4 linked regions of the Notamacropus eugenii genome follow. The protein of the gene in region 2 interacts with the protein of the main gene of each other region in a pairwise test. Links are inferred from orthologs where the notes say so. Each region holds a gene or a part of one and is shown on either strand. Other genes may lie near its edges.

What was found.
Region 1: the proteins of BEND7 (region 2) and NKAPD1 interact in binary tests that used the Homo sapiens proteins (3 or more experiments, as listed by UniProt). The two-hybrid records come from large-scale screens. The link is inferred for Notamacropus eugenii from reciprocal best matches to the Homo sapiens genes BEND7 and NKAPD1.
Region 3: the proteins of BEND7 (region 2) and EIF1AD interact in binary tests that used the Homo sapiens proteins (3 or more experiments, as listed by UniProt). The two-hybrid records come from large-scale screens. The link is inferred for Notamacropus eugenii from reciprocal best matches to the Homo sapiens genes BEND7 and EIF1AD.
Region 4: the proteins of BEND7 (region 2) and MFAP1 interact in binary tests that used the Homo sapiens proteins (3 or more experiments, as listed by UniProt). The two-hybrid records come from large-scale screens. The link is inferred for Notamacropus eugenii from reciprocal best matches to the Homo sapiens genes BEND7 and MFAP1.

Annotation. Positions count from the first base shown.
Region 1 is NC_092876.1:142,134,577-142,142,012, forward strand, and holds the start of NKAPD1 (uncharacterized protein NKAPD1), read right to left. Parts: upstream 3,019-7,436; 5' UTR 2,751-3,018; intron 1,558-2,750; 5' UTR 1,551-1,557; coding exon 1,482-1,550; intron 1-1,481. Other genes in the region: PIH1D2 (PIH1 domain-containing protein 2), read left to right, coding at 3,757-3,933, 5,081-5,204, 5,560-5,805, 6,099-6,364, 6,461-6,598.
Region 2 is NC_092874.1:168,216,381-168,223,863, forward strand, and holds the start of BEND7 (BEN domain-containing protein 7), read left to right. Parts: upstream 1-4,476; 5' UTR 4,477-5,026; coding exon 5,027-5,087; intron 5,088-7,483.
Region 3 is NC_092873.1:18,668,671-18,675,388, forward strand, and holds EIF1AD (probable RNA-binding protein EIF1AD), read right to left. Parts: upstream 2,215-6,718; 5' UTR 2,079-2,214; intron 1,779-2,078; 5' UTR 1,766-1,778; coding exon 1,679-1,765; intron 1,594-1,678; coding exon 1,485-1,593; intron 1,417-1,484; coding exon 1,308-1,416; intron 1,231-1,307; coding exon 1,183-1,230; intron 870-1,182; coding exon 734-869; 3' UTR 515-733; downstream 1-514. Other genes in the region: SART1 (U4/U6.U5 tri-snRNP-associated protein 1), read left to right, coding at 47-168, 256-274; BANF1 (barrier-to-autointegration factor), read left to right, coding at 2,984-3,106, 3,404-3,550.
Region 4 is NC_092878.1:54,058,406-54,066,334, reverse strand, and holds the start of MFAP1 (microfibrillar-associated protein 1), read right to left. Parts: upstream 3,022-7,929; 5' UTR 2,850-3,021; coding exon 2,771-2,849; intron 1-2,770. Other genes in the region: WDR76 (WD repeat-containing protein 76), read left to right, coding at 7,749-7,775. UniProt on the Homo sapiens protein: Involved in pre-mRNA splicing as a component of the spliceosome.

The sequences.
Region 1 (7,436 bases), on a different chromosome or scaffold from region 2:
GATGGAGTGACAACTTAAAAAAATGGGAAAGAATAATTGGAGACCAGCAGACAACTGCAACAAAGATCTGAAACATCTTTAGAATTCAGGATCCTAGCTTTAAAGTTGGAAGAGAACTTAATTAGGTCTCTATTAGAGATCACAGAATCATAAAATCTCAGAGGCTACAAGCCTCACCCCATCATTTTACAAATGAAGAGATGAAGGGGTAGAAGTAAAGTGATTTCCCAGGGTAAGATGGGAGGGATAGCAGAGTTGAATTCAGACCTGCTGACTAAAATCCAGTATTTTTTCCATTGTACTGTGCTGCTGCTGCCTCACAATGTATCCTGTGGAGGGAGTGACCCAGAAAGAAGAAGAACCTACTGAATGATGATGACAGAAAGACAAAGTGGTCAAGAAAAAGAGTGTGCCTACCCTCCTCGTGGCCTGGTATAGTGAGGGGCACAGGAGAAAGAGCATCAGTCCTGGAGAAGGTTACTAGGGATGCTGTCTTCCAGAAGAAGCTCAGTTTCTCTGAGTGCAAGAAGATGGGAAGGGAGTGAAAGGAGAAGTCTGGAATGAAGGGAAGTTGGCTAATGATTGTACGGAAGAGAAGGGCAGAGAAGAACAGGAATTGGGGAGAGGCTGGGCTGAGCCCGAAAGTGATGAGAGTGAAATAAGTGGTAGAAGACAAAGGGCTTCTCAATTTAGCAGAAGTTAAGGGAGTTTTGCTAGCGATAGGTTGGGGGAACACAAATGACTAGGGCTTTGTTCCACTATGGTCCTCTGATTATGGAAGAGAACTCTAGATCTTATTCTCTCAAAAATCATGGAAGAAAAGGCTAAGCCTGTAAGGAGGCTGAGGAGGCAAATACCTGGTGATGAGATTTGAAGGGGACTGACTGTAATCACAATCAGCACCAGTTTCTTTGCTTCATCCCAACATGTTGGGCAATGATGCACACCCAGAAGATACCCTGCATATAAAGCATGCACATGACTCCTGGTCTGGCTTGGTGTTGAAGGTTCTGGTTCTGGATATGATCATAATGGCAGAGACCTGGAGTGCAGGCACTTGTTAGAGAGGGCTGAGGAGATAGTGTTCTCCACATCTGGTGGTGGAGAAGGGAATAATAGTAAGTGCTGGAGAAAGAGAGAGCCCTGGTGTCAGAGGCAGCCTACTTCTGCCTTCACCAATGGTGGGCTCATGATAATGAAAGCTTTGCTGATAGAGAAGGGAGGAGGAGGTACTAAAATAAATGCCTGAGTGTCACTGTTAAAGTAGTTTCTTTACAGGAAGGCACAAATTCAGCCCCCAAGAGGATCAGGGCTGGCATGATGCCAGAGTCACTCCTACTCTCCGGCTAGTCACACAGTCATATTCCTCTGCTGTTGCTTATATCCCTCTTTTAACAGCCTTCTACATTATAAAACAACATACTATGAATTGAGGAGTCCTAAAGGAAGCCCTGCCAGGGAATGCACTGCTGTCCTCTTACCTTATTGTGAGCATCTGTGTGCCGAATGACATTTCTCAGAAGGACTTTCCCCAGAGGGATCCGGGACATTTTTAATCTGAAATGTGTAGAAACACCATCATAAGAATAACATCTCCTACATACATTACATTTGTATATTTTTCAAATATATCACATCCCTTTCACCTGAGTCTCACAACTCATTGAGATGGGTAAGTAATTTTCCCTTTCTGGGCCTCAGTTTCCTTATCTACAAGATGAGGGGGTTGGATCAAATTCAAGTTAGGGTCACAGGATTTAGAATTGAAAGGAATATATTGAATATATTGTCTAATCCAACCCTCTCATTTTACAGATGAAGAAACTGACTTAATCTTTAAAGTGGTTTCAGCTCTGACAAATTGTGAGTCCATGAAATAAGGAACAGGTATCCTTAACCCTGACAATTCAAGAACCTGGATTCCAAAGTTTTAATTATTTGTCCAAGGTAAATAAATCAGTGACAAAGACAAGACCACCCCTCCTGACCTGCCCTCTGGGCTTGCTGGGCAGCACATACTCTGATCGGCGAGAGTGGGGGGTAGGTAGGTGGTCAGTAGTAACTCTTACGCATATCAGCGGGAGTCCAGCCTTCCCTCCAGCAGAATTTTCTGGGCCTATTGTGCACACGGAGCCCAAGACACTAAAGGACGAGTTCAGAGTTTGCAAGGACAGTACGGCGTCGAGGACACGAGGCCGCCACCACAGCCCGAAAACCCCCCAAGAAATCACTCAGCTATTAGAGTGTGACACAGAATCACCGCCCCACAACTTTCCAAAAACACGTGAAACACGGTGCCCGAGGTGCGAGGGGCAGCCAGGCCAGCTCAGCCTCCGGAATCCGGGGCCCGGTTCGAGTCCCAACCAGCCACTCACGACCCCATCCCACCGCACGTCAGACCTTAACGCCTCGCCCCCCGGGCCTCAGTCTGCGCGTCTGCACAATGGGGTCAGGGCCAGACGGCCCGCAGGCGCCCAGGGGCCGGCTCTCCACCGCAGCTGCCTGGATCCCGACCCGACTCTCCAGACCAGACCGGGCGCCCCTCCCTGGAGGCCTTGGGGGTGGGGGGAGAGGGTCGCCGCCCACCCGGGGTCCCCCCCCACCGGAGCTCCGGCCCTTTCCTGCCCTCCCAAACTCCGCCGAGGTTCGTAGGACGCTTTGAGTCCCTCCGTCGAAAAGCGGCTGGGACACCGCGGCTCAGTGGCCGGGATCCGGGCCCTGCAGCCCCGCGCCCACCCCCGCCCCCCTACCGTGAGCTCCGGCGTCCCGGGGCAGACAGGGGAGCGAAGAGCCTTGGGCCACCTTCCAGTCCTCGACGGAAGTAGGAAGTGCTTCCCGAGTGTCCAGAGAAATACTTCCCCTTCCGAAGCACGGTACCCCTCCCGCCCGCCCCTCCCACGAGAGTTCTCGGGACTCTCCCTGGGCCAAGGGAGACAAAGTATCGCTCTAGGGGAATCGGCGTGACGGCGGCCACCCCGGAGAAGCCAGACCGGGGCTGACCGGACAGGCTCTCAACCTGGTGTGGGCCAAAGTTGGCCGCGGAACTGCGCGCGAAGGGTGCGGGGACGCTGGGAGGTTCCGAGCCCAGTTAGGCGTCGCACCGCGGTAGGTTGCCCTGGAAACCGCGGCCGCGGGGGCGCCGGCGTTCGGACTGGCGAGTCGCTCGGTCGGAGCACGCTGCTTGTTTCCCCGGCAGGTGGCCGAGGCGGTGGGTCAGGAGCTTCACGCCCCCTTCCCTTCCCCCCTCCCAGGGAATCTTGAGGAGAAAGCGTACGGAGAAATGAGGAGACTGGGGGCGGGTGTAGGGAAACTGAGGCAGGAGCCGGAGACCGCTCTGACTCCCGGGGGGCGGGCGTGGAGATGCTGGGGAGTGAACGCCCCCCGGCCTTGGGCTCGGTGGGGGGGGCCTCCGGGTGAGGACACCCCCGCATGGAGGGGCCGGAGGCAGAGCCCGGGCGGGGGCGGGGCGGAGCCCTCCCCCTTCCCCACCAAGAGAAGGAAGTGGTCGCAGACGGCAGTCCCAGATGGCCCTAGGAGCGGACAAGATGGGCGCTGTGGGGAGCAGCGAGGGGGATGGCCATGCGCACTATTTAATATTCATTTTGATAAGTGCCCTAGGAGATTTCGCGCATCTCCGCGTCGGGGAAGTGTCCAAAGGCCCACAGCTTTGTGATGCGCAGTAGCCCTAGGGGGTGACCTTTCCTCAGCGGGGTGTATGTCTTTTCACAGCCTGGGAGACCCTCTCGCTTCCAGGTCATGGAGTCCTCACCAAGAGGCTGGCTTACCCAAGTGACTCAGCTGTGGAACCTGCTAGATGACCTGGCGGAGAGTGACCCTGAACGTTATGAGAAATTCATTCAAGGGCAGCTGAAGGAAGGGGAGAAACGCTGCGCTGCCCCTGAGCCCCAGCTCTCCTTGCAGACCAAGATCTTGGTTCGTACATTTCAGACGGAATGGTTCTGGCCCACATCTTTGTTTCTACCGCAGAGCAGTATTCCAAGGGAACTGTAGCTCCAGAATAAGAAACTGAGTGGTGGTACCAGAGATGGTATGGTCAGGAGTTTCCCAGCTAATTGAATGGAAAAAAAGCAGGTGCATCCATGGGATTTTCTCCATGTGGGTCTTTTTATCCAAGTCAGGCTCCATTAACTATCTGAAAAATAAAATAAGAACCACCATAAGTAGGCTTGGTTCTTGCACATGGAGAAGAAACCAGATACTTTATTCTCACTTGGAACAAGACACAGAACCAAAGAATTACAGAATACTAGACTTGGAAGGGACCTTAGAAATCATCTTATCTCCTACCTGAAATATGTATAAGTACAATATCCAGTCTGAACATCTCCATTGGTCCAAGGCCTCAAAGCCAACCTGACATTCCCATTTTACAGACAAGGAAATTGAAGCTCAGTGGGGCTAGGCTAACCCTAACTTTCCCACATGCAGCTCAGAAGAGTCAGAGACAGGGTTTGAACCCTCTCTTAATGAATTCAAGTCCAATCTCTTTTCTGCCTTGCCAACTTGCACAAAAGCTAGGATTCTCTTGCACTGTGCCTGTGGTGTTATGCACTGGAGTTCTTTCTATGCTGCTGTCTTCTGCTTTGCACTCATAACTCAGCTCTCCTCTGACCATGAACTTTTCTTGGCTACACTTTGAAGTTCTCATCTGCTTCTGTACCCACATTACAGAAATTCAAAGAAAAAGGATTCTCTTCAAAAAATTGAGTACCCCTTCTAGAACTTTTTTCTTACCCAATTTAGGGAAAAGAGTGAAAATATTCTGACTTAATTTAGAGATCCTTCACTCCATATTTGTAGTACTTCCAATCTAAAGGGAAAAGTGAGGTTTCCTTCCTCAGTTGATCACACTCAAATTTTCTAAGGGCTTCTAAGCCAACTCAATTTGTCCTCTCTCCATTCTCATTAATAATAGGAGCACATAATGCAAATCAGCTACACAGAATCAGCCCCAAGCATTACCAATACCTAGGAGGTAGTTGAAAAATGCTAGTTGCCAGGTGCCTCCTCAGTGGTGAACACAATAATAATAAGAGTAAGAAAATGTTTTATTTCCTAGAAACCAGAAGAAAAAGTATTATTCATCAACCTATGTCAATGGATGAGTATCCCAGCACCCCAGTCAAAGGCAGAACCTGTACCTTTGAGCGTTGGCAAGCCAGAAGATGTATCTGAGACATCAGGTATATAAAGTATCAAAGCTATTTTCTTAGCAAGTAGCTAACACCTAATAGATTTTAGCAACAAAAGTGTACTTTTTTTTGTATTTCTAATACAAATTTTTTAATTTCTAATAAGCATACTGGAGAATTATCTCCAATGTTAACTGAATATACATAAGCTGTTAATTTTCTTAAATAGTGGGGCAGTTACTATTCTAACAAGAAGTTCTAGTGGGAATTTTTTGTGCAGTAGTACTATAATGGAAATTCTGTTTTGAGGGTGCCTTAGCTTAATTCAGGCTATTGGGTTAACATTGTTACCTGATGGTGCCATTACAGAAATAACGGTTAATTCCACACTGTTTAAACTACCTAGAATCATACACAGTTATCAATGTTGCCTATAACCCTGCTGTTCTCAAGGAAGCAAAAGATAATGAAATGGAAATGGATCACCTGATTCACTTGACAATGAAATGCATTGAGGAGCAACATCAGTTTACTCTTTCTCATTCCTATCACATTACAAAAACCTGGAAGAAAGGAAGCTTCCAAAAGATGAAAAAGAATTTGATGGGAATCCAAACTGACTCAACAGATTTAAGTGAGAAAATGAAGAAAGGTAAGGAAATTTTTAGTGAAAACTATTATTATGTAAATTCCCTTATCAATACAAATGAAAATTAAACTTAAATCTTATTTCTGAAGCAAGAACAAATGAAAAAGATCAGATTACTATAACCCAGAGATGTCTAATTTGAGGCACACAAGCTACAGATTAAAATGTAATTGGGAAATGTTGAACAAAAATACAACAGAAAATATTAATATGTAGTCTCTATGCAGTAGTGTTTTATAGTACTTTCTTGCACTTTAATTACTGTAACCTGAAATATATCCCTTTTTTACATCAAGAACTAACGCTTGAGCAGTTAAGAAACTGTACTATGAATAACCAAGATGACATTCCACAACTTTTACTGCCAAAGGACCATATTCCAAGCAAACAAGGGTGTCTGATTGAGGAAATTTCCAGTAGTGAGCTCCAAGTTGAGCTGAAGACTCCAAATTATAAGCTGACATCTGTGAAGGATCAGAATGGGAGATCACTGAGAATTGAGATGAAAGTTGAACTTCCTGGTCTTAGTTCTGTCTGTGACTGTGACCTTAGTGTTTCTAAGGTAAGATGAGAAAGAGATAACAATGTCATATCAGGAATAGATTCTATTTCTAGATTGCAAAAACAAATCTATTCAATTGATATGATTCTCTCTTAGGATGACTTAGTGATTGAGGTCTCTGAGAAGTACCGATTACAGGTAGATCTTCCAGAATTGGTTGACACTGAGACAACTACAGCAAAATTTGTCAGAGGGAAAGCCACATTAATCATCACCATGCCAGTACTGCAGTAAAAGTGCAGCATGAATGTTAGGTTTTTTTTGTTCTACCACTGAGCTCCTGTGAAGGCATTAAAGCCTTTCGCATCATAGGTAAGAAGGGGTGATATTAAATACCATTAAAATCTATCTTCAGATTTTTACCTATTTCCTCTACTGTGTTGTCCCTTTCCCCACAAATGGCCTTGCCTTTATCTTAGACAACTGAAATCTTAGATGCTATTGTATAGCATGTTTCCTTTGATATTAATAGCAATCACAAGTACAAATAATTGTTGGGGAAATAAAATGTTTTCAAGTTGCTTTTTTGTGTTAGTGGGAGATTTCCAGTTTATTCTTTTAAGGCATCAGTTAAATTTACTGCATAAAGAACATAACTAGCTATCACTGTACCTCAAGCCAATTCAGTTATGGGGCAGGGAAGGGGCAAGCACATAGTTCAGCCAGTGAAGTTGCATTGGAAGAGGGAATAACCTACCTCCAAGAAAATCTTGCTCTACCCTTTTAATATGTTCAGGGAGAAGGTGGACCCTGGTCAGTAGAACTGTATGATCACATGTTATGGTACAGTTATTTTAGTTATTTCTACAGTTAGGCTCTTTGAGGCCTAAGACCATGTCTTTGTCTTCCCCTCTGTGCCCAACATACTATCTTTTGCACAGTAGCTTGTTTAATGAATTCAACATTAATTGCTTTTTACAGGCCAAGATTAAATAACAGGCCTAGTTCTCAGTCTGGTGTGGAGATAGAATATACACAAATGATTTTTTCTTTCAACACTCAGCTCAAGTACCATCTTGTACTTGAAGTTTTCTTGATCTCTCCTGAGTGCCCTCCTTCCAAAAAGGACCTT
Region 2 (7,483 bases):
ACACTACATAAACATGAGTTAAACATAAACAGGTGTTATTTATTATTATTACATCATACTTATTCTCTATGATATTTATCTTGGTGGATATACATACGATATTTTCTCCTTCCCCCTTATTTTTCAGTTTAAAGTTCTTTTGATTAAAATCATTAGTTCTTGCCAAAACCAAAAGTACTGACATTATTTTTAAAAAGTATAGGGTTTTACACAAAGTAGTTTTTCAATAATTATTTGTTGATTTGACATGGATATTGACCTGGTCCAGAGTCTGTGGTCCACCTGTTTATAATAATGGTCCACAAATAATGCTTTTGAATAAGGTATTCCCTTCCTAAGCGATGTTCCAGTCCTGGGTCTCATGTCAGTCAAAAGATTCAAGGGAAATTCAACTGAATTGTCCAAACCATTCCATTATATTTGGCTTTTATTTTTAACTACACATATACTATTCTCTATGGTAAGTGGAATTCATCTTCCCACTTGAACTGGAAGTGTTAATTTGTTAATAGCTTCCCTAGGGTTTTGCATCTTGGTATGACAACTTCAATGATTTCATCCTAGTTTAAGTGTAATAAAACCTCATTTTATATTCGCAGGTATTAAAGTTCCTAAATGTCCTTTAGTCTGTCTGTTTCTCAGCTTTGTTTTGGTCAGAGGTTTTTAAAACCTTTAAAAGGACAAAGTTGAACACTAAGACTTGCGACTTTCAATTTAGGATGGGTCAGAGAGGAAATAGGGAGAGCAGAGGAAAGAAAGCAAAGGAAAGATGAGAATAGATTTAGTAATGTACGGATTTAGATGAAGGGTTGAAGACCTGATATGACACTCACAAACAAGACCTCCAGGAATGGTGAATTCACTACACTCAAAGGTAGTTCAATGCAATTTTTGGATAACTATAATTGTTAGGACTTTTGTCCTAGTGAACCTAAATTTTTCTCTTTGAAATTTCTATCACTCAACTGCCCTCTTGAGCAAAACATAAATTGAGAGCACCTCTTCTACACCACAGCCCTTTGAACACCTGAAGATTATGCCAAATCTTAATGACAATTCTTTTCCCACCTCTGTCAGTCTGTCTCTGTGCCTCCAGAGGCACCTTCCTCTATACCTCTCCTCTTAGAATCTTTTGTTGTTTAGTTGTTTCAGTCCTGTCCAACTCTTTGGATTTTCTTGGCAAAGTTACTGGAGTAGTTTGCCATTCCCTTCTCCAACTCATTTTACAGATGATGAAACTGACGTAAACAAGGTTAAGTGACTTGCCCAGGGTCACACAGCAGGTAAGTTTCTGAGGCTAGATTTGAACTCATGAAGATGAGTCTTCCACATTTCAAGCTCAGTGCTCTATTGCCACCTACCTGCTCTTCTTAGAATCCAGCTCCCCTCAAGGTTTTGCTCAAGTATAACCTCCTAGAAGAGGTCATTCCTAATTCAACCAGGTAGTGCTCCTCCCCAAATAACTTATTTTATATATATTTTGTATTCATTTATCTGTGTACATATTGCTTTCCCCTAGTAATGTAGAAACTTTGAATGCAGGTACAATATTTTATTTTTATATTTTCAGCACCCACCGCAGTACCTGCTACGTCGTAGGTGCCTAATAAATACTTTCTAAATTGAAACAGGAAGGATGGGGAGGATATAATAATCTCCCCTCATTCTAGACTAGAGGTTTTCAACCTTTTTTATATCATAGTCCTGTTGGCAGTCTGGTGAAGCCTAGGGACCCTTTTTCAGAATGTTTCTGAAAGCATAAAATACAAAGAAACCAATTATATTGAAATACAGTTACAAAATAAGACAAGTTCAGAGACTTCAAGTTGAGAACCTCTGTTTTATACACTAATCTTTTCTTAATGCAATTTCAGATTCCATGAGCTTTTTTTGGGGGTGCTGTAAATTCATATTGAACTGAAAGTCCACTAAACGCCCAGCTCATTTTTATATGCATTATCTAGTCATATCTCTCCCTTCCTGTACTTGTAAAGGCAATTTTTATTCCAAGTATAGAACTTCAGATTTATCTCAACTATGAGAGGTTCTCTCATTTAAACACCTCACCAAAATATGAGTATATGATACCTACAGAATTCTTCTTCTGTATAAATTTAATAGTCCTGTCAAAAATGAACTAAGGAGGGGCAGCTAAGTGGTGAAGTGGATAGAGCACCAGTGCTGGAGTCATGAAGAACTGAGTTCAAATATGACCTCAGACTTGATACTTAGTAGCTGTGTGACCTTGGGCAAGTCACTTAACCCAGATTACCTCATAAAACCAAAAAAAAAAAAAAAAGAATTAAGATTAGTTTGGTGGGAATTGTTATTTATTAACCCAGAGTGGCTGATATTGATCACTGCTGTACTTCCTAAGTATTCACAAAACATGGCAGAATCTTGCTAAGGTAGCAAGCATGTCCTGGCAACAGGTTGCCTGCTTGCCAAAAATCAGCCTACTTAAGTGCAGAGACAGTGATTACCAGTAGATGTACCACCAGCTACGGGACTAGCAATTCTTCTGCTGTGGAATTCTTCTGCTATGGTAATCCACTAAAGCAGGGAAGGAAGGAACTGAATGAAACATGGGCAACTGTCAATCATTGTACAGCAGATATCAAACACATCAACATTCCCGAGTATCTAGAGGAGAACTAGATGAAAACATAATTGGGTAGTAGTAAACAAAATAAAAATACAACAGAACATAACATCAAACGGGGTTTCCTAAATAAATATGCAACCAGTAGGGATCTCTTTTTAAATATGCTTCTGTATGAGTTTGACACCTCTTCCCCGCTACAGTATTGTCTCCTTGGGTGGGGTCCATGGTGAAATATGGTGCTACTATTCATCACCATGCCCTCCCATCCTCACTAGCCTTTAAGGCGACTAGGGATTTGTTATACCTGCTGTCCCAAAAGACCGAGAGCCGGCCTTTTGGGACACCCTGTTCTGTAACCCAACTATTCCTCCACCTAAATGCCTCTTACAAAATCATCATAGATCTAGAAGGCACCTTTGACAGAAGAGAAAATTGTGTCCAAGGAGGTTGTGACTTTTCCCCACCAACCACCCTCTCCCCTTTCCTGTCTCCTTTCGTGTGGTCTTTTTTTCTTTAGGTTGTAAACTCACTGAAGGCAAGGATTGTCTTTTTTATTGTGTCTGCATGCCTGGCACATAGTAGGTACTTAATAAATGTTTATTGTATTTATTGGATTGGGATTAAGTGACAGAAATGAAATTTGACTCCAGTTTCAATGATTTTAACCACTAATACCATTGTGGCTCTCTCTCTAGTGCTGCACATCCCAAGAGGTATACAATTATTTTTTCCCTCTCTCCCAGGGGATGTTATGAAGAAGAAACAAACAGTGTCCTTGATGTGCTCTGTGCTCCTTAGAGATGCCCATAATAAGTCTAATGAAATGCTTATTGTTTATTCCCTTTATTTTGATATCATTACGCCAGTCTTTTGCATCTGCCTTAGGGATTTGGTTCTTCACCAGCAACGGAGACAGCTAATGCAGAACCTGAGGGATGACAAGTTTTCTCAGGACGACCCTCAATCCACATGTGTTCTCCAAATTCTGGGGCCACCCAGACCAAGAGGTCTGTAGTCAGTATTCGGGGCTCAGTGTCAATGCTCTCTACCCTTTTCAAGACCGTTGGTTCATTTCATATGTAGTCATTTGTGGACAGGGGAGATAACCTCTAACAGCTGCTTAAAATAAGGGCTCTCTGGTTCAGGAATGTGAGAGTAGGAGGCGGTTTGGGGGTGGCGGGGCATACCAGCCTTCCCAGGACTGAAGCAGACAAGAGGGGAGGACCCCCCCAAGACTTGGAGTCTCTAAGGAAAAGGAAAGAACCAGCAGGATCCTGGCCGTGAGGGGGAGGCTCCCCATGGAGCTTCCAGGCCGGCGGCGAGGGAGGGGGGGAGGTTGTATGAGCTGAGCAGCGCTCTCCAAAGCCGGGGGGAGGAAGACTCCCCCTGCCCCGAGCGAGCCCCGGGCCTTGGGCGGGCGGCGGCAACGCGCGCGGGGCAGGGAGGTGACGGGGAGGGCGCGAGCGCGGGCTTAGAGCGCGAGCGCGCGGCGGCCGCGGCTCGCGGGAAGCTGCTCGGTCCGTCCGTCGGTCCGTGGGTCCGTCTGCCCGTGCGGCCTCCGCCTCCTCGGGATGGCGTGGGGCCGGGGGCCGAGCCCGAGGAGCGGCCGGCGGGCTCGGCTGGCTCCCTCAGCTCGGCCCCCAGGGGGATGGCGGAGGCGGGGAGGGGGGTGGCCCGGGGCGCCGGTGCGAGGGCCGGCTCCCCCCAGCAGGTGGCACCGGGGTCCCAGGCAGCGCGGGCGCTCCCTCCTCCGCTCCTTCCCCTCCTTCCCTCCGCCCGCCCCGGCGGGGGGGGGTGGGGGGGTGGCGAGCGCCTCTGACCCGGCTCCCCCGGCTCCGCCGCCGCCACCTCCTCCCGGCCCGACCCGACCTGCTGCCGCCTCCCTGGCCGCGCATCGCCGCCCTCGCGCCGCCGCCGCCGCCTCGCGGGGAAGGAGCAGGAAAAAGCGCCCGGCGCCTGCCCGCCCCTTTCCCAGCCCTCTGCTCCCGGGCCGGCCCCGAGCCAGCCCCGGGCCAAGTCCGGCCCCAGCCGAAAGTTGTGGCGGAGGGCGGCGGGCCCGGGCTCGGCAGCTTCCTCGCCTTGTCTCCGGGCCGGGGGCCCGGGGTGCGGGGCTGGGGGGCGAGAGCAAAGTGGCAACTTCTCCGAGGGAAGCCTCCAGCCCCGCCCACGCCCGGGTCCGAAATCGCCCGGGGGGCCGGATCGATTTTGTTCCTTTACATTATTCTTACTGTTGTCGAGACACGGACCTGGGTCCTCCCGGCGGCTGCTGCTGCTGCGGCCGGGTGACCAGAGCCTCCGCCGCCGCCTCCTCCACCTCCTCCTCCTCCTCCTCTCCCTCCCCCCTGTTCCTCCCTCTCTCTGTCTCTCCTTCTCTCTCTCTCCGCTGCCACATTCCCTTCCTCCTTCCTTCTCCCCAGCACCATGGAGTTCTCCGAGAGGAAAAGAAGCAGGAAATCCCAAAGCTTCAAACTGGTGAACCAAGGTAAGAAGAGAGGGACGTGGGGGCGGGGGGGCGGGCAGAGGGGGGGGGGAGAGAGAGGGAGATAGAGAAGGAGAGAGAGAGAGAGAGAGAGAGAGAGAGAGAGAGAGAGAGAGAGAGAGAGAGAGAGAGAGAGAGAGAGAGAGGTGGGGACCGGCTAGGGGGCTTCTCTCGGGTGGGTGCCAGAGACTCGGAGAAGGGACTTGACCAGGGTGTAAACATCCCCCCAGCCACCAGCGCTCTCCTATCCCCTCTCGCCCTCTCCCTTGTCATTTCCCTCATCCTCTGTTATTTGTCAATGCAATTATGTATTTTCAAGTCAGCAACTGTATCTTTAAAAAGGGTTATTGTTATTATTTTTAAAAGAACCCGCTCGACAGCGGGGGCGTTTTGGTGTGTGTGGGGGCAACGTTGATGCTTGGCGATGAGACCACTGTACACAAAATAAAGTTGTATGGTTAAGGGGGGGAGTCAGGATGTTATTGAACGTAAACAGCCCAAAAAGCGAATCAGGAAATTAGCAAACAATGACACTTAGGGAGCAAAAAACCTTCTTGTGCTTTCAACTACTGTGGCCAGGTTTGGGAAGTGGGGTGTTTGCTTTTCAATTTTAGAGGTGTACAGAAGTCTGGACGAATGATTCTTGTCCCTAAGACCAAATTCTTCCCCCCTCCCCCCCACCTCCCTTGTCGGTCCCTCCCCCCCACATGAAAGGTTTTGGTGTGATTTTTCCTTCTTTCATTTCGGAGGAAAAACAATGCCATTGCACAAGGAAAAATTGTTGCTATCTAACTTGTTGGGTTGTGTGATTGGTTTAGGAAAACGTGTTTAAAAAGAATTATGCATCTAGTGAAAATCAATTTTTAAAAATCCCATCAAATTTCTCAATAATTTAACAGGTGTATATCTCAACTGCTTGGGTTTAGGCTATTCAGAGGGGAGAGGGTAGTAGTTGTCCAGTTGAGGATGAGTTACTTGTTAGGATCTTATTTTTTTCTAATTTGGCTTAGAAAAGACTGAGAAGAATTAAAGCCCAAGGCAAAAGAAGTAAGATATATCTGTTAACCAACTTGTGACTTGTTAGATTCGAAGCAGGTGATTAGTACATTGTAATGTCACATTTCTCTTTTGAGGGTTCAGAACACCTATTTTCCTTAAGTCTCTTTTTTGAAACAACCTTAAATTTGAACAAACACAAAAACTTAGAACCGGTCTGTTTTTCCTCCGATGTTTTATGGACTATTGGGGGTGGGAGCAAACCAACTGTTTTAAAAATTCTAAAAAGTCATCATATAGACTAATGAAAAGTAGAGGGCTATTTGCAAATAACAGGGTTTTTTTCCTAATTAAACCCCAGCTAAACTAAATGTTAGTGTGGAGCAAATAAAGCCTACTTTTAGTTTGTTTGAAAATTCATTTGATTATATGTTTTCTTCTCAATTAAACTGATTTAAATAGTTAAGCAAGTGGATAGAATTTGGTGAAAGGGGTTTTCAGTCACTATACCTATTCAGAATATTAGCTTTTTGATTCTTTGTAACTTTGCTTCACTGAGTTGATTGCTCAGTTACTTGAACTTTTAAAAGTTTTTTCATATATAACCTGCCATTTTGGGGGGCTTTATTCATTCAAGAATATATGTTACTTCTGTTTTTTCTAACTTTAGATAACTTATTACCATATCTTGAAAATGAGAGTAGTTGTGTAGGTGTTGGTCTGTAATGTCCAAGGGCACCCATAAGTCATGAATGTAAAAAGAAATCTACCTTTAAGGCAGATAGTTAGGTGATCCCAATTTGTAGGAACTTTATCAAAACCGCATGAGCCTCTACAGAGAGGCTAGTGAAATTCTGTATTTTTAAGTTGGACTGACATAGGAAGTTTATAACAAATTCTGAGTCTGACTCTTTGCTATGCAGGTGCATTTTCAGAAAATGAGCCACTGCATATTAAAGTGCAGTAGCTGTATGCAAAAGATACCCTTATGTGAAAGATGAGACCCTGGCTTCCATATTCAAATTTCACTCTACTTAAAACAACAAATGAGTATTTTTCATATGAGCTTCCTTTTAGACTTTCAATTCCCAGTATTTTTCAGTATTAATTGTTAAAATCAAGGGTGTTGTCACTAACTATTGGGAATGCTCTTAATATGTCCTATACAAATTTAGTTGTATAGTTCAATGTAAAAGACTTCTATGACCTGGGATGCAGCACATTTTCCCTATTGGTTATGAATTTACTTGCTGAGGTTTAGAAAAAACATTTGAACTTTCATGCTGACATACTTGTCAGTGAAACCTGACATATATCAGGCAAAGTTATTCTCAAAAATCTGTGAATATTTATTTTGTACAGTTTCAAAAATACTGATAAAATTCTTGGGTGCTGCTATAGTG
Region 3 (6,718 bases), on a different chromosome or scaffold from region 2:
AGTTTGTAAAAGTGGCCACTGAGCATAAGGGGTCCCCTTGTTACAGCTCTTGAAAAAGATGAGCTCCAGTGACACACCCCTGGGCACAGTGGCCTTGCTCCAGGAAAAACAGAAAGCCCAGAAGACCCCGTACATCGTACTTAGTGGCAGCGGCAAGAGCATGAATGCGTGAGCAGGGGATGGGCCTTGGGACAGGGGAGGGAGAGGCACTTGTGTCTGTTTCCCTCCCTCATCTCTTGTCTCTTCTTTCCACAGAAACACCATCACAAAGTGAAGATGTCTCGTATCCTCAGTCCTTTAATATTAAATAAAGTTCCCTCCTTATTTTTTCCTCCCTTGTTTAAGTTATGATTCCATTTTCCTCCCTTGAGTCAGAGCTGGACAGAGAGTTGGGTGGTGGAACTAGGTATTGCCTGTCCTGGAGCCCATTCTGAAATGCCCCCAGTGGCTGGTTAGCACTGTAGCCAGCCCCCCACCCAAGTTTTTGGTCCCTCCTTTGCACCGGAGTGAGAAGTCAAAGTCGGAATTGCTTTACTAGGCACACTGGTACAAGTCAACCACAGCTCTCAACCCACCAGGGGTTTAATCTCTTACAGAGAAGAGTAGGAGTCCAGATGGGAGCCCTGCCTCATCCCCAGCCAGGGGGTGGATGCACAGAGCAAGCCCATTTCTGTCCATGGAGGTGGGGTCAAGGTATAGGACTAGGCTTCCGGCTGGAAAGGAAGCTGCAATCTCAGGCCTCTTCCTCACTCTCCTCCTCGCTCTCCTGGTACTGCACCCGATTGGTGTTGACAAAAAGGTCCGAGTCATCTGCAGAGCTGTCGTCTTCTGAAGACTGGGCTTCTCCTGGAAGTTCTGGCTGAGGCGGTCTGCAGGGAGGAGGATGAGTGAGAGAGGCTCCTGGAAGCCATACCCAGGACAGAAGCACTTCCAGATTCCAAGCCGAGGAAGCAGAAGTTGGAACAGCTCAGGATCCCCCCCAACCTGAGAAACATCAGTCCCATTTACACGTGAGACTGGGGCAAGCTAGCCCCAAGTAAGCAGCTGGGCATGGACAGCCTTGGGGCTGCCTCCCTAGTTAGCATTCGCAAGCAGCTGGACAGACAAGTCCACCCCAAAGAGGGTGCTGGCCTGCTAGCAGCCTGTGCTGGAGGGAGGAGAGGGGACAGCCGAGACACTCACCTGCTTCTGCTGTTTTGTTTCTCTGCCACCTCTGAGAAGGCTTCAGGCCTAAATAAGGGAAAGGATTTAGGGGGCGGAGAGGAGCCGGGCCAGGTGAGCCCTCCCCCCAGGACCCCGGGCCCTACCAGAGCCCCTCCTTCTGTAGGGAGCGGACGTGGTCCTTGCAGAGGACGAAGGAGATCTCGGCCTTCACCTTCTCGCCCTCCTCGATGGGGTCCACGATGAGAAAGTCTCCTGCAGGAGAGGCCGCGGGTGAGGCCTGGCAGCCGGGCAGGGCCGGGCCTCTGCCCCCGCCCCCTTACCTCTCTTGATCCAGATGTTCTTGCGGTACTTGGAGGGCATGCTGACCAGGAAGCGCTGCCCCTGCGCCGTCTCCACCTCGTGCAGGTTGTTGCCAGGGGTCCCCAAGACCTGCCCGGGGCGGAGGAGAGCGTGTTGGGGGAGGGGGTGCAGCGGCCGGGAGATCCCGGGAGGGGGGCGGGGGGCCGGGGCTCACCCTCACGATCTGCTGCTGGTCTGACGGCACCATGTGCTCCCCTAGCACCTCCTGCACCACGTGCTTCCGCTTGGTGGTCTGAGACATGCTGGTTCCGAGTCTGTGGAGGTCAGGACCCCCACAGGAGTCAGTGACCCGCCGGGGCGGGATCCCACTAGCTGGCTAGGGGTTTCTTGAGGGTCTCGGAGACCGGGTGCAGCCCGGGCTTAACCCGACGCCTCTGGGATGGTCGAGGGGGAGGTGACGGGGGTCTGGGTCCCGCGGGCCGGCCCCAGACACTGATGGGGGGAGGGGTGACGAGCCGTCTCCAGCCTCCGCCGGAAACCCTTGCTACCTAAGATCGGGAAACAGCCGGCGGGGCTGGGCCCCGCCGCCTCCACAGGGCCCTCTGCCACCATACCTTCCCGCTGGCCACTGCCGCAGCCTCCGCCGAGACCGCCAGCCCGAGCCGAGAACTTCCGGAGACCACGCTTCCGGTGCTCGCTTCGGGAGGGGGAGGGGGAAAAGAGGGCTCGGTGTTCCCGGCTAAATCTTCCCCTTGCTAGGCACCGCAGACCCCGGCACTTTAGTTCCGCCTCTGCCGCTGCCGGCCCCGTCTTGGGCTGAGTGGGGAGCCTCCGCAAGCGCCACGCGTGTAGTGAGCACCCTCCACTCCACGCCCCGCGCCGGGAGGAGTGCGGCCCCAGATCTGGCCATAGAGAAGAGAGAACAGAGCGGCGCCGTCTCCCTGGGAACCATCCTGAGGCACGCTTCCGCCGCAGACGCGCATGCGCCTGGTCCTCGCCTCCCTCCCTTCCCCTCCCCTCCCTTCCCCTCCCCTTTCCCCGGTTCCGCCTCATTGCCTTAGGCCCCGCCCCCCCTTCCCGCCTCCCTTCAAATTGCCCTTGACCCGGAAACGACTCTGACAACCTGGAAGCGGAAGCCGGCACGCGCCTTGCGGTATTGAGGCAGCGGCGGGAGAGGCCGGTTAAGTGGTAGTGTGACCGTTACAGAAGCCGGAGCCGGAGCCGGTGGGCGTGCGCGCGGCTTACGAGCGCCAGGGTCGTGGGCAGGGTTGGGGCGAGTCGGGGGAGACCCGGGCGGCTGTGATGACCCTTCCCCCCTCCCGCCGGGGAACGCGGGGAGGCAGACGCGGGGGCTGAGGGGGCGGGGCCCGCGAGGGGGCGGGGCCATGGGTTGGGGCTGGCGGCCACGTGCGGAGGGGGCGGGGCTTGCGCGGGCGCGGTGCCTGGAGCTCCCCTGGCTTGGGGCGGAGGCGAGCGTGTGCTTTCCCTGTGGTCCGCCCCAGGTCTGTGGTGAGGAGCCATGACGACCTCCCAAAAGCACCGGGACTTCGTGGCCGAGCCCATGGGGGAGAAGCCCGTGGGGAGCCTGGCGGGCATCGGAGAAGTGCTGGGCAAGAAGCTCGAGGACAAGGGCTTCGATAAGGTCCGGGGCCCTCGCGGGACCAGAGGGAAGACTGAGGCAGGGTGGGGATCGGCGCCGACCCCTGGCGTGGCTGTGGGGCCCCGGAGGAGGAAAGGAAGGGCGGGTGACCCCCGGGAGCCCCGGGCTGTGTGTGCCGGCCTGCGCATTCATTCCTGGGAGATGGGGGCGGATCCCGCGAGCACAGCTGGGCCCGGGGGCGCTATCAGCCCCTTAGAAGGGGAGGGGTGGGCGGTGACTCGGCCCCAGCTCGTTCCCAGGTGGCCTGCCCACAGCCTTCTGGCTCTGTGTCTCTTTCAGGCCTACGTGGTTCTGGGCCAGTTCCTGGTGCTGAAAAAAGACGAAGACCTCTTCCGAGAGTGGCTGAAAGACACCTGTGGGGCCAATGCCAAGCAGGCTCGGGATTGCTTTGGCTGCCTTCGAGAATGGTGTGACGCCTTCTTGTGAGCCCCGTGCCTGGGGGCCGGCCCCCCTTACCCCCTCCGATGGGTCTTCACAGTTAGCACCCCCAAGTGGGAAATCCTGCCCCTCTCTCCCTTCCCACCTCCCAACAGAAGGAAAGATTTTTGCTGCCGCCCCCACCTGGGACACCTTCCCCTCTCCACCACTATTTTGACTCAAGCCTCCCTGTCCACACCTCAGCATGCCTCCTGGTCCTGTAAATTTCAGTGGCGATAGTTATTAGCTTTCCTGGGTGGGTCTCTGGAGTGGCTTCCCTACCCCCTAACCCCCCACTTTTGATCTCTTTTATGCCATTTGGGTAACTTTGGTAGAGGGATGTTCACTGCCATTGTAAAGAGTTTTTTAAAACCAATAAAGTCATCAGCCTTGACATCTGTTCTTAGTTACGTGAACAGGAATTGGGACAAGGGGGAATGTTGGATCAGGAAGCAGCCACTTCCTTCAAGAACACCGCTCTTATCAGATACTAACCCAAACTGTAAACTCATCCCATGACTATCTTCAGGTCATTGGAGTAGGTGTCTTGGGACTTGGGCAAATATGTTGGTGTCCTAGCTCCTTAGTTATGTGGGGGAAAGGTTTTTTGTGACTTCCTCCTAGGGCTGAGGTTTCAGCTGCTGTGCCTGAGTGCCTCGGTATAGGCAGAGTAGTCTAGTGAGTATCAAAGAAGGGCATGTCACCAGAGGCTAGTATTGGGCCTGGTCCAGGATGTGGCTCATTGATCACCTGCTGAGGGGAGCCATCTGCCAGGTTGCAGGGACGGCTGATCGGGTTTCCTGTGTTGGGTTAGATGGGGGTGGAAGACCAGCTGTCCACCTTCGATTCCCAGGGATGCTTCTGGTGAAGCCTAGGAATGACTGCAGGGAGCAAGGAACACCATTCCTGTGTTAACCACAACATTCCAGGCACAAGAAAACACCTGGCTATTTGGGAGAGTACCCAGAGAGTGAACTAGCCCCGCTGCCTAGGAGGAGCCAGTGCAGGGAGAAGCTGGCGGTTGCAACAAGGGAAAAAACTGCTTTACATCATCTGCCCAAAGAAAGTGATAAATGTACTGTCTAGAGAGAAGTTTATGAACAAGTTTGATCTGTTATGGCGCCCCCTCCAGCCTCATCTCTCTTCACTGTGCTTAGGTGGCTTGGAAGCAAAGGTCCTGTGTTTAAATTCTATCTCTGTTGTGACCAGTATGTCTTTAAGCAATTCGCTCTCTGGACTACAGCTTCCTCATCCTCTGTCAATTAGGGTGTCTCCTTCCAGTGTACCTAGGATTCTATGATTGAGGAAAGAGGAGGTTGGTTTTTTATGTTCCATGGTGAGGGAGGAATGTCCCTGTGGTTAAATGAGGTCATCCTGACTCCCACCACCTCCAGGAAGCCTTCCCTGACTACTCCAGCCCACACTGAGTTTTCACCTTTCTGTAACCTACAACATATGCTTGCACCATAGTTTTTGTGTTTGTTAGACACTGCTCTATATTGTTCTCTGCTTCATGTGTGGTCGTGTTCCGTGACTATGTTAGAGGGATTGAGCAAAGTGTCAGGACTGATCCTTTCTTGAGGTTGCAAGCACAGGTGGCCAGACACATAGTAGGGGCCCAGGAGGCAAATATCTGTTTATCTTCCCAGTTACTGGCTGGAGTTAGGTTCATATGAGGCAAGAAGGAGCAATGACAGGTCATCTCTGTATTCTCTTGGTGGGATCCTGTGGCCATTTGTGATGTTGGCACCCCAGAGCATACCCTTGGAAAGGGTGAGACTGGCCAAAGGATGACAGAACAAAAGAGAGTCCTGGGGAGACTTGTGGCAATGGGTGAGCCAGCAGCTTGCTGTCCCATGCCCAAGGGGAAGGTGTTATCTGATGCTGAGCCTACAGAAATCCCAGGTAGGGCGTGCTCACTGGGAGGTGAGGATGGGGCAGGGCTCCATCACTGACACGGAGCACCCACTCTGCTCCCTTGCTTAGCCCAGCCTGACACTTTCATCGCCCCCTCCCACCCTGCTACCAGTTGCTGGCATACTTTTGACTGGTGCCATCTAGAACTCTGGGTGTAGCTGGACAAGGTCCCTTCTCTGTTGAACCTGGGGAGATTGACAGGGAGCTGACCAAACCACATCCCCCCATACCCTGAGTAAGTTACTAGAGCCCCAGATGGCAGGAATGTGGCCCTTGATTGTTGGGCCCAGTGAAAGGTGTAATACGTGTTGTGAGGGGCTCAGCAAGCCCTTCCCTGCTGATTCAGAACCTAGAACTTCCCCCTTTTCCTTTCCTGACAAGGTAACTTCACAAGACAATCAAAGCAGTGCTACTGCAAAGAGCAGTCATCAACAAAACCCTACAAAAATGCTGAAAAAACCCTAAAATCCAAATCATGGCTCTGAATAGATGCAGAAAAGAACACTGTTTACAGTGTGAGGCTAAAAGGACAGGGCAGAATTGGCCCGGGCGGGGAATGTGGGGGGTATGTCCTCCCCGTGTGGTGTTTTGTGGGGGGTCTGGCCTCCCCGTGTGGTGTTTTGTGGGGGGTATGTCCTCCCAGTGTGGTGTTTTGTGGGGGGGGTCTGACCTCCCCATGTGCTGTTTTGTGGAGGGTCTGGCCTCCCTGTGTGGTGTTTTGTGGGGGGTCTGACCTCCCTGTGTGCTGTTTTGTGGGGGGGTCTGACCTCCCCATGTGCTGTTTTGTGGGGGGTCTGACCTCCCCGTGTGATGCTTTTTTTTAGTTAAAGGGGCCATCCCTTGACCAACCACTTAAAGAAGTCTATTCATTGAATGGCTGTATCTCACTCAAAGTGAGAATGTGATAGGACCTTATCCTGAAAGGGCCAGGGTCTCCCATTGCCTCCTGGGCCATCTCCAGTCCTGATGACTCTGGAGGAGAAATGAGGCTGGTGACCTTGCACAGCCCTCCCTCACTCAAATCAAAATCAACTGCAGGTCATGTCATGTTGATGTCATGGTCCTCTCCCAGAAGGAAGGACAAACACAACAACTGCACTTGTTCATATAAATTTCCCCATGCTTCCGTTTTCAATGTCCTTGCAGCATAGTAATAGGCTGTAATTATAATCATGTACCAGCATTTACTCAGCCATTCTCCAACTGATGGGCACCTACTCTGTCTCCAGTTCTTTGCTACCACAAAAAGGGTGGCTATAG
Region 4 (7,929 bases), on a different chromosome or scaffold from region 2:
TGAGATGTCTACTACAAAAGTAGAGATTCTGTAGACAAAAAGATGTGTTTAGAACTCAGGGCTATTATCTATGTAGAGGTAATAGTGAATGAGATTATTAGATGAAAGACTGAAGAAAGAACAGAAGAGGGTTTATAATAGATGGTCAGGGAGATGAAGAATTAGTAAAGGAAACAGAGAGGTAGTTTATTTCATCACAACAGAAATGTGACATTTTTGATGGTAAGTGGAAGAAAGAGCTATTATACCGGAGGGGACTGGTTAACAAGTACTGAATGTTGCAGAGTGCTCTTGGAGAATGAGGACCAAAAACTGACATTTGATTTGGTGATTAGGATGGGCGGGGGCCTTTGAAAGCACAGCTGTGATAGAAAAGGTGGTGAGGAAGTGGAAGTATTAGGTGAAAGCAAAAGTTCTGCATTTCTAACTTGCTGCTAGACATTCTGCCAGCCCCACAAAATCAATGTCTAAAACTAATCATTTTTCGTTACCTCAGCTGCACCCCTACCTGACTTCCTATTTTTATTATCATTTTGGTTTAAAACCTTAAAGTAGTCTTTAACTCTTCCCTCTCCTTACATCTAGTCTTGATTCTTCCTTCCTCAATATCTTTTGAATTCATCCCTTCATTTCCATTTCTACAACTTCTATCCTAGTTTAATCCCTTATCTGTGGGATATGGGGATAGAGCTAGAGCAGGTCTGTCCTTCTCCTCCACCATCTTGGCTCAGTCCCAACGTAAGCACTTAACTAGACTGCTGTAATTGTTTAGCTGGCCTCCTTGTTTTTTTGCTTTTGACCCTTCCAATTCATTTGCACACTGATCTAAGATGAATTTTCCAAAATTGATTCAATGTCCTCCAACCTTTAATGGCTCCATGATTGCCTTGTTCTCTCCAAAGTTACAAATGTTCTTAGCTGCCAAATGCAATGGCCTTTTCTTTATCCTCATTCTCCTTGACCTCTCTTCAGCCTCTGACACTGTTGATCACTTTCCCCTCCTTGATGTTCTCTTCGAGGTTTTGGGGGTACTACTCTCTCCTGGTCCTCCTCATATCTGACTGCTCCTTCTCTGTCTCCTTTGTTGACCCTTTTCTACATTTCAGTTGTTGATCTCATCAGCTCCCATAGATTTAATTACCACTTCTGTGCTGATGACTCTCAAAACTACCTACCTACCCCAATTTCTCTGCTGACCTTTAATCTTGGATCTCTAATTGTCTTTCAGACATCTCCAAATGGATGTCCAGTAGACATCTTAAACTCAAATTATGTCCAAAATGGAACTCTATCTTTCCCCCTAAACTCTTAATCCCCTCCGCACTCGGGCCACAAATGTACAGAGCAACCTCATCCTCCCTGGTCTTCAACCTAGCAATCCAGGAGTCATCCTGGACTCCTCACTATCTCTCAACTCCCACACCCAAGCTGGTGCTAAGACCTGTGTCAATTTCACCTTTGCAACTTCTCTTGAATATGGTCCCCTTCTTTTCTCTGACACTGCCACCACTCTGCTGCCCGCATCACGTCACACCTGGATTACTGTAATAGTCTGCTGGTGGGTCTGCCCGTCTCAGATTTTTCCCTATTATAGGTATGACCTCCATTCAGCCACTGGTAAGTCCAATCATGCCACCCATCCCCATATTCAAACTCCAGTGGCTTCTTATTGCCTCCAGAATCAAATGTAAAATGCTCTGTCATTCAAAGCCCATCATAATCGAGCCCCCTCCTACCTCCTTCTTTCCAGTCTTTTTATACTTTCCTCCCCAAAGAGTACTCCTTGATTTAGTGACACTGGTCTCCTAGTTCCACCAACAACACACTTCATCTCTCAGCTCTGGGCATTTTCTCTGATCGTCCCCCACGCCTGGAATGTTCTCCCTCCTCCCCTCTGACTACCGACTTCCCTAGCTTAAGTTCCAACTAAATTCCACCTTCTACAGGAAGCCTTTCCCAACCCCTCTCAATTTCAGTGCCTTTCCTCTGTTAACAATTTCCTATTTATCTGGTATCATAGCTTGTTCAATTTCTTTATTTGCGTTGTCTCCCCGTTACATTGTAACCTCGTTGAAGGCAGACGCTGGCTTTGGTCTTTTTGTAATCCCACCCATTAGTACAGCGTGTGTCACACAGCTGGGGCTTAATAAATGTTTATTCATTTACAGACCACACCACAACGTGTCCATCCTTTATTACTCAATTCATCCTCCCCCTTGCTGCCTTCTCTAATTAGCCACAGCGCCGTTCTTAGGACACTTATTTTGTATTATAAATATTTACGTATGCATTTATGCACGCAACTCATCCTGTCACTCTTTCTCCGCCTCCCTCCCCCCTTACAGTAACACTGTAAGCTTTCTGAGGGCAAGGTTCCTCTACTTTATAAGTGTATACACTCATGATCGGACCCAGACAATCAACGTCCGCCTGCAGAACGAGGGGAGGAGGAGGACGGGGTGTGTGCAAGTCCCTGCGGTGAGGACCGCGGACTCAGAGGGCTGGGGTTAGAAGGAGGTCTGGGAGTAAAGTTGGCTTCATGACCCATAAATGGGGCTCAGGAGAAGACTGATGAAGGGCAGGTCAAAGTGGTAACGATGAGGGACAGGCTGGAGGAAGCTCCGAAGGAAAGCCAGAAATTGGGGGGGCCGGCTCTGGTGTAGCGTGCTTGGGGGGGTAGGAGTCGGGGGTCGCAGGGCACCGAAGCACGGGGAAAAAGGGGGGTCGCTGGCTGTCAGAAAACCCGGCGGGAAGGTTTTGGGCCCCTTACCTTTCTCATTGCGAACGGGGACGGCCCCAGCCGTGGAATGAATGGGGGGCTGTTTCATGAGGGCGCTCGGGACCGACATGATGGCAATAGCGGCGGCGGCTGCCTTTCCAGAACCTGAGACGAAGAACAGTCAACACAGACAACGTACAACGACCTCCCTTCTCTTCCGGATGTAGCAGCGAGTCCGGGAGCCCTGAGGAACCGGAAGTGCACCACAGAGCGCTTGATTGGTGAATTGTGGGATCGTGGATGACTTAGGGGGACGGCCCGGGGAGGAGAGTCGCGCGGGCTGTCAGTGCGCAGGCGTCGAGTCACGTGACCTGCAGATCGGGGCGGTGCCTGCGCCTGCGGGCGGGAAATTCGCTTTTTCCCAAGTGTCCTCGCCCTTTTTCCCCTTGGGTTCGGAGGAAGGGAGTGGAAATCTCAGGTGGGACTAGGGGTGTCAGAAAGGAACACGCGTGTGAGGAGTGGGAGGTGGTTTCTCGTTGGTTCGAGAGGTGGGGTAGGCCCTTGCGCAGTGGAAGGGCGTTGCGTCCTCGGCTTGGCCCACGGCCGCGAGCGTGAGGGACGGCTGGGTTGTGAGCCTCGGCCCTGCCACCGGCACTCCAGATCAGAGGATCCAGGGCGGAAGGGACCCCGAAGGTGGGCTGAGGCTCAGGAGCAGCCTTTAGTAGGGGGTGAGAGCCTCCGTGGAGGGTGCGAGCGAGGGTGGCCCGGGAGCTCCTGGATTTAACTGGTTTGAATGTTTGCAGCTTTTCAAGTTCCTTGATTGACTGTTGTAGCTTTTTACTTTCACTTAATATTTTATCTGATTTTATCCCACCCCTTTACCATGAAAGTCAGGGCCTCTTCCCACCCTTTCACCACAAATCTCTACATTCCCACCAGGGGGTCCCCGGGTGTTGAGAAATAGGTTGGAGGGAGGCAGGGGAGGCCTCTGGGCCCCAAATGCCGTCTTCTCGGTCCAGCTGGAGCCTATTGTGTTCCTTCCGTCCGTTTGCACTGCGGTCCATAAGCCCGTAGTTACTGCGCATCTGTTGTTGGGGAGCGCCGGAAGGGGGTGCAAAGAAGTGAAGGAAAATCTAGCTTTCTGGCATCTAAGAGAAGTAAATAATGCAGATTTGTGAATGGATTGTGTTCTTTTGGAATAAAGGACTCAGCTTAGCTGATGAGAAAGGGTATTCCAGGTACCCTCGAGCTGGAGGTGAGCAGTAGAGTGCCGTGGGGCGGCAGTAGGGGCAGTTTAAAAACTGGTAATTGTTTTAGCCTTGGATTATAACCAGATCTTCTATCTTTAAATGTAAAGGCTGCTGAACACAGAGTTTGATTGCTTTGTTGATACACAATAGCTGACCTTGTGATTCTAGAAGGTTTTTTAATCATGCATAAAACATACGCTTTTAGACCCAGACAAACCAGTAAATAAAACCACCTGTTGTTGGCCTGTTGTTTAGATTAGAGGACTGGGAGAGAAGGATATTTTTCCCGTTTCAGAAATCGTTCTCAGCTGTACTTCAAAATCAGGACTAATCAGAAGGTAGATATGACGTTTAGGGAATGTAATGTGGAATAGATCTGAGACGAATTTTTGCTAGTCTGCCTTCTAGTTTTCCCAGCAATTTTTGGCTAAATAATGTATGTTTTCTGCTTTGTCAGAGTTACTGAATTCTACAGTGTCCTACTGAAGTTTTATCATTTTTTTTACCATTTCAGGCAATATAATGGTTATAAGGAATATGACTGTAGCTGGAAGAGAACTCCCTCATTTTATAAATGAGGAACATGAGGCTTAGAGGGGAAGTGAATTGCCCAAGAGCACACTGCACAAAAAACATTTCCAGGTTTTTTGATTTGTCCATTTTTTATCATTAGGGATTTTGAACATCTTTTCATGTAGTTCTTAACCTGTATTTTTTTTCAAAAATTGTTTATGACCTGTTGACACTAATAAAGTATCAAGGGAAATTTATTGCAGCAGAGTTCAGAGGAATTGAACACGTTGGCCAAAGCGGGCCTCCTTCCTCTTTTGGGGAGGAGTGAGTGTCAGATACATAAGTGAGATTGGCTTTATACTGTTAGCTCAGGACAGATCATCCCATCAAGAGACGGATTGGTCCATTGTCCATTAGGTCATGATCTTCTCTAAATGCCCATTACATAAGCACCCCTGGTGAGATCCCCCCTCCCACACATTCTTTAACATAGGACCCATGATCAGAAAATGGAGGGATAATATTATGCCGAGAGTGTCTGTTTATATACTTGAGGTTCATTAAGCAAACTCAGTGAAGAAAAGCCTTCTCCTGGTAACTCTAGGTCATTTTTCCCTGACTAGTTCCAGCTAACTGTAGATTTGAAACTTTGTAATTTTCTGAAGGCCACTGTCTGTCTCTTGATTGGTTGAGTCCACCTACAGTCAGCTAGGCTTATTATCTGAATTCTCACTGACTTCATCAACTAATAATAACTTCTGTGGAAACTTAACTTTTGCTGTCTCTTACATGACCTGTGGCCATTCCTCATTGGGGAGTGTAAATTAATTTTATAGCTGTCTATCAGTTCTTTATATGTTCTGGAAGATAAATCTTTATCAGATACATTACAAATCTGTTTTCCTCACTCTTTTTATTTTAGACTAGATATTTTTTAGTTTCTTGTGCAAAGTTTTTATTCTTGCATATTCAAACCCACTGAACTTTGTCTACTAATTTCTTCCCCTTTTTTTGTTTTTTAAAAAAAGTTTTTTTTTTCCATTATTGGAACAAATATTTCTTTTCCTTGCAATTTTTAAAATAATTTATAAGAATACTTAGATCACATTTTCTGTTTGCTTAACAGGTTTATCAAAGCTTTTTTCTTCTCATTAGATATTAACACTGTTGACTACCACCTTTTGGATACCACTTTCTTGGTTTTTCCACTTCTTTCACTGTCTCTTTCTCCTCTTTGTGGTATTGCCTATTTTTATATTTTTGGCCCTCTCTCATTTCTATACTATTTCCCTTGGCAATTTGATTAATCCCACCACTTCAGCTTCCACTTACTGAGATAACTCATCTGACTCCTCTTCTATGTCCAGATCTGTATCTCCTTCTGTCTACAGAATACCTCTACCTAATTTTCCATTGACACTTGAAACTCAATATATCTAAACCTGAGCTGTTACCAAAATACAATTGTTTACTATAAACATTTTTTAAAAGCCAATTACTTTTTTACTGTGCCTTACTCAGACCAAACCTGGACTATTACCTGTGGTTTTGGGGCATCAAAACACATTATACTGCACAAAACTGTACATAATTTCAGGGAGGACATTGATAAGCTGATCCAGTAGAGGTAGAACAACATGGTGAAGGGCCTCGATTTCATGTGTCCACTTGAAAGTTTGGTTAAAAGACCCAAACAGGCTAGGTGATATAGAAATTCATATTGTTTATTTCCTTAGCTAGCAGATACATGCATACACAGAGCCAAAACATGATTTCTGACTGATAAAAGAATGACCAGCCTTAAACAGGTTTTAGAGCAATCTCAACTCAGCATGTCTATGTCTCTCGAATTTATGATCTCCATATATGTTTAACCATAGTATGAGAAAAGGAATTTTCTTAATTGAATAGGTTGTAAATACAATAAGATAAGAGAGTTGACAAAGTGTCGATTGAAATTACAACCCAGGATATCTGTTTTCTTTACCATTAACATGATATAACACAGTATATGTTCATAAAATATTAAGATAAGAGAAAGTCCCTTTATTCTAGGTAGTGTCTGCTTAAGGCCCGCTGTCCTTGGTAGGCATTAATAGAAGAATGCTCAGGTCAGCTCTTGTTGACACGGAGGCGTTCTCAGCGTTTACTTAGATCTGTTGCTTCTTCTGGTTGATTAGTTGAGGCTCTGGCCCTTGAGGTTCCAATGATATTACATTATTATCACGTTATATGAAGGCCTGTTGAAGGATGTTTCACCTGGAGAGGTAAAAGGACAGCCACACTTTGAGTTCTTGTGACTTTTTTGAGTGGGTTGTTACAGCCATGTTCATAATTCTCAATCATTTCTAAAAGAAAACAGTCTTATTCTTCACTTTGGAGGGCAGAAATAGGAGTGATGAGCAGATGTTGCAGAGGCCAATTTAGCTTGGTGTTTAGTTAGAGCTACCCCAAAGTGTAACGGCTGCCTTGGACCATTGAGTTTCCTCCAAGGGCAGACTTTCAGGCAGAGGCCAACTGGCCATTTGTCGGTTGTGTTGAAGAAGGAATCATTTCTCAGGTGCCATTTGGACCAGGAGGACACTGAGGTCCCTTTCAACTCTGAGAATCTGCAGTTCTGCACTGACAGGCTCATCTTTATATGCTGTTTTAAGGTTTTCAAAGCGTGACAACCCAGTGACAAAGGGGAGGGCGCTTCCATTTGGATGAGACGTAAACCAAGGTCCTGTAAGATTGCCTAAGACACAAAGGGACGAAGTGCACAAGCCGAGCTCTTAATGTCGCTTTGCGGGACCAGACCCGCACACCCTCTCACTGCCCAGGCAGGGTTTGCCGTGGCGGAGGGCGCCCTAGCCCCCTCCGCATTGGCTCTGTCCAGTGGCAGGTGTGTAGAGCCCAGGACCGGGATCCGGAAGATTGCTCTGTCTGAGGTCGGATCTGAGCTCAGCCCCGTTAGCCCTGAGAACCTGGGCGAGTCACTTAACCTTCTTGGTCTTGGAGAAGGAAATGGCCCAGCACTCGGGTAACTTAGCCAAGTGATCCCACATGGCATGACGAAGGGACTGAAGGCGATGTGACCACTACCACCGGTTCTCTCCAGGCAGCGCCTGGTTTAGCTTCCGCCTCCCGGTTCCGCCTCCCGGTCCCGCCCACCGGCCGGGCCGGGCCTCCTCCGCCCGAGCACCGGCCTTCTCTGTCCCCGCCCTGGCGGGCTGCCTTCTCTTGGCGGGCGCTCTTGGCGGGAAGGCAGCTGGAGCTGGGAGAGAATGGCAGGGTCCGGGGAGCCCCTCCAGGTGCGGGCTTTGGAGGTTGAGAGCAAGTGGGGAGCTGGACTGCACAAGCCTGAGCAGGGGAGTAGGCGGGATCTCCTGGGCTGGGCTGAGGGTGCTGGCCCCTGGTGAGCCTAAGCCTTTTGGAAGGGGAGGAAATGAAGCCCCAGGGTGAACA